Linked DNA regions of Saccharomyces cerevisiae S288C. The protein of the gene in region 1 purifies or fractionates together with the protein of each later gene. This does not show direct contact. Each region holds a gene or a part of one and is shown on either strand. Other genes may lie near its edges.

The links.
Region 2: the proteins of GID10 (region 1) and FBP1 purify together in Saccharomyces cerevisiae (affinity purification with western blotting, with the first as the bait; one study listed by BioGRID). This does not show direct contact.

What each region holds. Positions count from the first base shown.
Region 1 is NC_001139.9:619,688-624,558, forward strand, and holds GID10 (Gid10p), read right to left. Parts: upstream 2,113-4,871; coding exon 1,234-2,112; downstream 1-1,233. Other genes in the region: VHT1 (Vht1p), read right to left, coding at 1-171; YGR067C (uncharacterized protein), read right to left, coding at 2,685-4,871. UniProt on the Saccharomyces cerevisiae protein: Substrate-recognition component of the GID E3 ligase complex recruiting N termini and catalyzing ubiquitination of proteins targeted for degradation.
Region 2 is NC_001144.5:873,246-876,789, reverse strand, and holds FBP1 (fructose 1,6-bisphosphate 1-phosphatase), read left to right. Parts: upstream 1-1,997; coding exon 1,998-3,044; downstream 3,045-3,544. Other genes in the region: translocon subunit SEC61, read left to right, coding at 1-1,054; PSY3 (Psy3p), read left to right, coding at 3,236-3,544.

The DNA of each region.
Region 1 (4,871 bases):
TGTAGTTTCTGCCGTAACGTCTGTCTTCGAGGACTTATCTACGCTATGATGTAGCTCCTCTTCAGCTATGATACTGGAGTTAGTATCGTCTGAGTATAAGTACTGATCATCTTCGGGTAGTTTTCTCAAATGTGGGAAGTAGCTCCTCCACGATTTATTCGAAATTGTCATTATCTATTGATTTGTGTCGGTCCTTTTTTGAAAATTGAAACAAATGAAAAGGCGATTGCTCGTGGGTGTAGAGCCTTTATATATAGTTATGTTATAGCCGTAAGAGTCATGCAGATTTTTGGGAATGGCTATCATCAAACTTAGCCTTGCATCTCATATTTCGACTTTTTTTTTCATTTCACACATTTTTTTTTCCTTTCACAGTTGGGTGAAAGAGTCTCGGAGGCGGTACGGCGCTTTCTGTGTAAATCATCCTAAAGTGATTCATAATCTCAGAGCCATTTCGGGTGAACTAATGATGATTTTCTAGTAGACTACGGCAGTATCTTAGCTGACGCAATTGTAGCAATGGAGGCAATCATGTTAGTAAAGGACATTTTAGTTGTAGGAGCATAGGATCGACAGGCCATGTGAAAGGCGTACTAGCAAAGATTGAAGTAATGAGAATAATTGACGATGATTTTAATTTGAGCTTTTCAATGCAGCCGAATTCAGCAGTAGTTGCAGAACCGGACTAACACTTGAAAAAATCCCACGAGCCAGCTGCCGTCTAAGGATATTGTAATAAAGTTGGGCTTAAACTAAAGTTTTTATATCTTGGTTGTAAGGTTGTAATCATTCGTCTCAAGAAGAACGTTGAGTAATCATTAGTCCTCCGCATAAGTAGGTTGCCAATAACTTGTTCAGCAATGATGGTTGCAGCATATCCTCGCTAACGTTTTACTTACCAAATATTTTTTGCTGGTGATTAAGAAAGCTTCTACCATAAGAACACTATGTCAATTTAAAGCAATAATGTTTTCCTGAGTGTTCTTGAGCCTCTGTAAACGAATCATCAATTCAAGTATTTTTATTTTATTGCAAGGATATCGCCAACTAATTATTAACCGGCACTAATGATAGAAATGTTTTTATTTCGAACTACAAAAAGGGCATACATGACGTGGATATATGTAAAGGGTTACTAGTTTACTTATTGATGTAATATCAAGAACAATGTGCTTTTAAAAGAGACATGGTTGACGAGTAAACAAACATACATTGGTAATTCTATAAGGGTCTTTAGGCAATTTCAAATCCACTTGAGTAGGTGTTCAATGCGTCGCAGTTGGTTGGAACGAGTTCGAGTTTTTGAAACAATTCACAAGCGGGATGATAGTAGTAGCCTTCCACTGAACCTGTTAGCTGGTCTAAACACACATAGTAAAATCCCTCAAATGACGCGCCTTCCAGATGATGATTATCGTCCAACATCAGATTTTCTTGTTCCTCATCATCAAGTAGGAACCTTTCCTTCCATTTAAGATAAATATATCGTTGATTCATAAATTCTGCACTTTCATGATTATACTGACCAAAATTTCTTTCCGTTAACGACCAGTTATCAGAACCAAAATGACCAAACCTCTTCCAATGAGAGCAATCACTTTCTCTCTGAGCCATATAAGGGTCGAGCGTCTCCTCAGCGGGCCAATGCAGTGAACATAACGGGAATTGGTTATAATTGATGACATACCCTTCAAAAAGGGTAACAACTTTATCTAGGACTGGTGTTAAATTTTTAATAGTGAAAGTACCTGTGACATGCGGGTCCAAAGAACGCGAATCCTTGTAAAGTGGCAAGTTTACGGTATCAATCTTCACTTCCACCGTATAATACGTGTACTTTGACGATTGCGAACCGCCAAATCTCAATCCTGGCCTCAAAAAATCTAAATGTCTACCAAGGGATCTGTAGGTATATTTAGCATTCTTACCCACTAAATTGGTCCCTTCCTCGTAAACATCACAGTCCTCTTCTTTTGCTTTGAAGTGAGGCAAACGTGTATCAGTTGAGGAGGGTAGAGAGACATAGGCCGAAGTATATATTTCTTCAATGTTGTCATTTCTTTTGGCCCTTTCTAGAATAAACTTTCTTCCCATGATATTCAGTGATGTCATACCTACAGTATATTTTAAATGAAAAGTCTCATAACACAATACGAAAGGATAAAGATAACTCGTCGATGGCCATCATGATTGCCCTTTTTATATGTTTTTATCAAATATTAAACTAAACAACATATACAATTACATCATTTTTCCCTACTTTCTTTTTCTGTAATGGTTCATCGAAGCATTTTTAAGGGTGCCCTGAAGACTATTGTTAAAAAAAGGTACCGCATACATTCGAACCATTACCAGAAAAAAGAGGGGTGAAAAGACATTCTAAATTTTGTTATCGAATGTGAACAGAACACTTAAGAAAACGCCAAGGTTAAGAAGGCCTTGAGAGTATTGATTAAGGCGCATGGAGCACAGGTAAACGCGAAAGACGTTTTGTACTTCCTTTTACTGAGCACCTCTTACATGTAGTAGTAACCATCGCAGCGGAATAAGCACACAAAAAATGGTATTTACTTTTAGGCAAACTTGTGGGAAGTATTAAAATTATTATGTAGATTTATGTATATCGTTTGTGGTTGTATTAAACTTTAATGTTATTAGTGTTGTTAACAACATTTCTTTGGCCATTATTTTATTTGGCTAAAAATTTCAATGTTTTTACTTTGTTTATTGTCAGTTGAAGAAGCTGAGAATTCTTGTGATTCCATGTTTACCTGGGGTGGGACCACTATTGTTTGGACTAAATTGATATTGTTTCCTGTTGCCCTTAACAATGGTTGTTCCTTCTCTTGTTGCTTAGGGGCCGAGTTCACGTAGGTGTAATTACTCGTTGAGATAGGTTCAATGGCTTTTATATCTAATGGGGGCAGGAGAATCTTATTACAGTTTGAATCTCTCTTTAGGAAATTAGGAGAGAGTGGCAAACATGATGCTACTGAAAACGATTTCATATCAGAAGCACCAGATAAAGAACCTCTTGAAGTCTTGCGAAACGGCTGTTGAAGAGCAAAACAAGACCAATTAGAGATATCAGTCAACAATGCTTTCGTCTGGTCATTCAGGTGAGGGGAGTAGATTAAGTATGGGTAAAGAATATTATCTCTTAATGAAGATACAATAGCATGCAGTAGTATATGGTAAGCAATGAAGGAATCTGACCAAAAATCGAACAAAATGGAGTGTAAGTCTGTCACCAAGTTCTTTTGGTGTGTTATAATGTAGTCATTCACAAACACTTCAACCTTCTCAAATTCCTCTTTCTCTGTTGATGAAAGGTAGCTCTGACGTTGTACATAAATGGTATCGAACCAGAAATATAACATTAGGTGAACATTGGGGTTTACTAGTAATTGAGATACTTGTGATGGTGAAACATCCGAGCTTGCAATTAACTCCGATGAAAACAATTTTAGTTGGAAGCTGACAATGTCGGTAATTAACTGAATATTCCTTGGGTTTAAAGATGCCAGCGTGAAAGACTTCAAATTAAGAAGCATTGATATGATTGATAAGTTCGTGGTGATCAAGGTTTCATCAACAAATGAGGAAGAATGATGAAGTAAGCACGAGGTCGATACCTGTGGAAAGTTATCAATGAACCATATGTTCCTTGTGGTCCCATTTCTCAAAGTCAAGTTGTTGATGAATTCGAACCAAATCGTTTCCCACAATAACCAGTTACTTTTCGATTTGCAGTCCGTAATCCTGGCGTTCATAACGTTCGCAAATAAAGAGGGGTTTGCACTAGTTTCAGGTTTGATCGGCTGCTGCATTACGAAACATTCATTCAAGTAAACCAGCAAATCATGCACTCTAAAATCAGATGGCAGCTCTTGCGGATAAGTCTTCTTTATTATAAAATACACGTACGCGGAATCTGCCAAAATATTGATATGCTTTAAAGTTAAGTCAGTAGTGGACATTGACGGTCCCTTGTATATGAAGTCCTTAAGTGGATTAGACGAAATAAACTCTTGATTGACGAACCAACCAAATATTAGTAAAGAATCGTTGTTGAAGTTGTTTGAATCGCGCAAGATATTGACCCATAGATCGAATATGAACCATGCATTTTCCTTACTATTCAAATAATGGTAACTGGAGGATGCCACGGTGAATGGCTTCAGAATATCTTGAAGCATTGAAAACACATCGAACTTTTTAATGGAATTAGAAACAGGAATGTTATTCTCCAACATTACTAGAAGAGAATAAAATAGAATCAAGGCAAAAACATCATGTTGCTCTGTCTGTGACAAAATGTCCTCAGTGTCAAAGTCATTGTCATGTTTAGATGAGCTAGCATACAAATTCGTACAACAGATAAACCATAGTTTTTGAGAATCTTGATTTAACGAAATGGACATACCCAGACAAGCTATTATGAGACCAAAAGGCTTGTTAATCCAAAAACTTTCCACCAGCTCGTCATTTTGTAGTGATGAGAACAGGTCTGGAAAGAAATTTTGGAAGATCTTATTTTCTACCAAGTGGCTTACACCCATTCTGAAGAAAGTTAGAATATCTCTTGAGCTAATAAAATCTAATGAATATTCTTGCAAAATTTTTACACTGATGGAGGACTCCAACCGGCTTTTAACCTGCTTAAAGCGGCTTTTCCCTTTCTTTAAACTAGAGGACTCCTTCCCAATCACACAACGTTGCTGCTTATCCATTTTTTCAACATTACTACTATGATAGTGAATATTGATAAGGCCGCTGTTGACCTTAATCATCGAATTAACGAGTGTTTCCATTTTGATATCTCTGGGTGAAGTCGAATCAACGTCACCAACGCCAAGTGATACAGGGAT
Region 2 (3,544 bases), on another chromosome or scaffold:
CCTTGTGGTCGTCATGACAGGTAACTACGGTGCCCCTTCGGACCTCGGATTGCCCATCTGTTTGTTGTTAATCTTTCAATTGATGTTTGCATCGCTGATTGTGATGTTATTAGACGAATTGCTATCTAAGGGTTACGGCTTGGGTTCCGGTATTTCTCTGTTCACGGCAACCAATATTGCCGAACAAATTTTCTGGAGAGCGTTTGCTCCTACTACAGTCAATTCCGGTCGTGGTAAGGAGTTCGAAGGTGCTGTGATTGCCTTTTTCCATCTTTTGGCTGTCAGAAAGGACAAGAAAAGAGCCCTTGTCGAGGCCTTTTACCGTACCAATCTACCTAATATGTTCCAAGTGTTGATGACCGTGGCCATCTTCCTCTTTGTTTTATATTTACAAGGCTTCCGTTACGAATTGCCCATCAGGTCAACCAAAGTGAGAGGTCAAATTGGTATCTACCCCATCAAACTCTTTTATACTTCCAACACCCCAATCATGTTGCAGAGTGCATTGACTTCTAACATTTTCTTGATCTCTCAAATCCTTTTCCAGAAATACCCAACCAATCCATTGATTCGTTTGATCGGTGTTTGGGGTATCAGGCCGGGCACCCAGGGCCCTCAAATGGCCTTGAGCGGGTTGGCCTACTACATCCAACCATTAATGTCTTTATCCGAAGCTCTTCTGGACCCTATCAAGACCATCGTCTACATCACATTTGTTCTTGGTTCATGCGCAGTATTTTCCAAGACATGGATCGAAATCTCCGGCACTTCCCCACGTGACATTGCCAAACAATTCAAAGATCAAGGCATGGTCATTAACGGTAAGAGAGAAACCTCCATTTACAGAGAATTGAAGAAGATCATTCCAACTGCTGCTGCTTTCGGCGGTGCTACCATCGGTGCTCTTTCTGTTGGCTCCGACCTACTAGGTACTTTAGGTTCTGGGGCATCCATTTTGATGGCTACTACCACCATCTACGGCTACTACGAAGCTGCCGCCAAGGAAGGTGGGTTTACTAAGAACCTCGTTCCAGGATTTTCTGATTTGATGTGAATATAAAATGAAAATAATATCCAAAGAAAAAAAAAATCGCATTTAGCCACACCCCTCCCTCTATTTTTTTATTTTGTTACCATAGTTTTATCAACGCCTTCTTACACCTGTATAGAGCTAAATAACTATATATATGTATGCGCAAATAATTCCTAGAAAATCGTCGATTTTTATAAATTCTAACCGCCGATTAACAATATCATACGCGATCTAAATTTATAATAGGCGTGAAGCAAAGGAAGTTGATAAAAAAAAAGTAAAGAACTCCTCATAGGGGGCTCGAACCCCTGACATTTCGGTATCCTTGCTTAAGCAAATGCGCTTAAAAGCCGAACGCTCTACCAACTGAGCTAACAAGGATGAGTTCTTCGAATTTTCCAGTCTAAGATAGACAACCCATCAAACTGCATGGTCCCGGGCTAACTTCTGCTCTCTTTTCCGGACGGATGGAATCGCCGCTTTTGAATTCACCTCCGGGGTATTATTATTATTCTTAGTAGTCGCGGTCGTGCGGACACCCGGAGTTATGCGGGCCCGAAAGCTCATTATGTAGTAAAGCTAGGTAATGTTAAGGGCGTAAGAGCCAACGCAAGGCAGCAATAGCCTGGTATTCCCACATATCAAGAAAGCTTAAAAAGTTGAGACAGGGAATTTGAAGGCGAAGATTGCCGAACTGGCCAATACCCACTACTTTTTTTTTGGTTTGCTTGGTTTCTTCCTGTCGCTTGCCAACTTGTGGCATCTTCCCCACACTATATTATAAGGATCGTCCTATGTATAGGCAATATTATCCATTTCACTCGCTAACAAATGTACGTATATATATGGAGCAACAAGTAGTGCAATTACAGACGTGTATTTTGTCTTGATCTTGCTTTTTGTATGATAGGCCTAAGAATAACAGTGCGAACATATAAGAAACATCCCTCATACTACCACACATATGCCAACTCTAGTAAATGGACCAAGAAGAGACTCTACCGAAGGGTTTGATACCGATATCATCACTCTTCCTAGATTCATAATCGAGCACCAGAAGCAATTTAAGAACGCTACTGGTGATTTCACATTAGTACTGAATGCCTTGCAATTCGCGTTCAAATTTGTATCTCACACCATCAGACGTGCTGAATTGGTTAACTTGGTTGGGTTAGCAGGCGCTTCCAACTTCACTGGTGACCAGCAAAAGAAGTTGGACGTTCTAGGTGATGAAATATTTATCAATGCCATGAGGGCTAGTGGGATCATCAAGGTCCTTGTATCTGAAGAACAGGAAGACTTGATCGTTTTTCCCACAAACACGGGCTCATACGCAGTGTGTTGTGATCCTATTGATGGCTCCTCAAATTTGGACGCCGGTGTCTCCGTTGGAACTATCGCGTCTATATTCAGACTGCTACCAGACTCATCAGGTACTATAAACGACGTACTGAGATGTGGTAAAGAAATGGTAGCCGCTTGCTATGCCATGTACGGATCCTCTACGCATCTAGTATTGACATTGGGTGATGGAGTTGATGGGTTTACCTTAGACACAAACTTGGGCGAATTCATCTTGACTCATCCTAACTTAAGAATTCCGCCTCAAAAGGCCATCTACTCAATTAATGAAGGTAACACCCTCTACTGGAACGAGACTATAAGAACATTTATTGAGAAAGTCAAACAACCCCAAGCAGACAACAACAACAAGCCTTTCTCGGCTAGGTATGTTGGATCCATGGTTGCTGATGTTCACAGGACGTTTCTTTACGGTGGCCTTTTCGCATACCCTTGCGACAAGAAGAGCCCCAACGGAAAACTGAGGTTGCTTTATGAGGCCTTCCCAATGGCTTTCTTAATGGAACAAGCAGGGGGAAAAGCGGTCAACGATCGCGGAGAGAGAATCTTGGATTTGGTGCCAAGTCATATCCATGACAAATCTTCTATTTGGTTGGGTTCTTCAGGTGAAATTGACAAATTTTTAGACCATATTGGCAAGTCACAGTAGTTCAATGATCGCCTTCTTTTCTTATTTTCTTTGTTCTGTACTTTAGTACGCGAAAAAAAAAAATCTGTATATGTCCTTATATATATATATATTTATATATATATATGTGTATGTATGTGTACCGTAAGCATTACTCCTTCTAATAATGAAAATTCTTAGGAAAAGAGAAAGGAAGTAGCGAATGGAATGGGATGGAAGTTTTAAAGAACATTAGAATTTATCCTTTGTCAAACTTCATCACATCAACCAAGAACTATATAAACCTACCAAATGAATTAAGAAACCTAATTAGTGAAGAGCAGGAGAGTAAACTAGGGTTCTTGCACATCATTGAAAGTGATTTTAAACCTTCGGTAGCGCTGCAAAAGTTGGTGAATTGTACTACGGGGGACGAAAAGATCCTAATCATAGATATAGTATCAATATGGTCCCAACAAAAGCAAAGACAGCATGGCGCGATCTACATGAATTCGCTATCTTGCATAAACATCACGGGATTA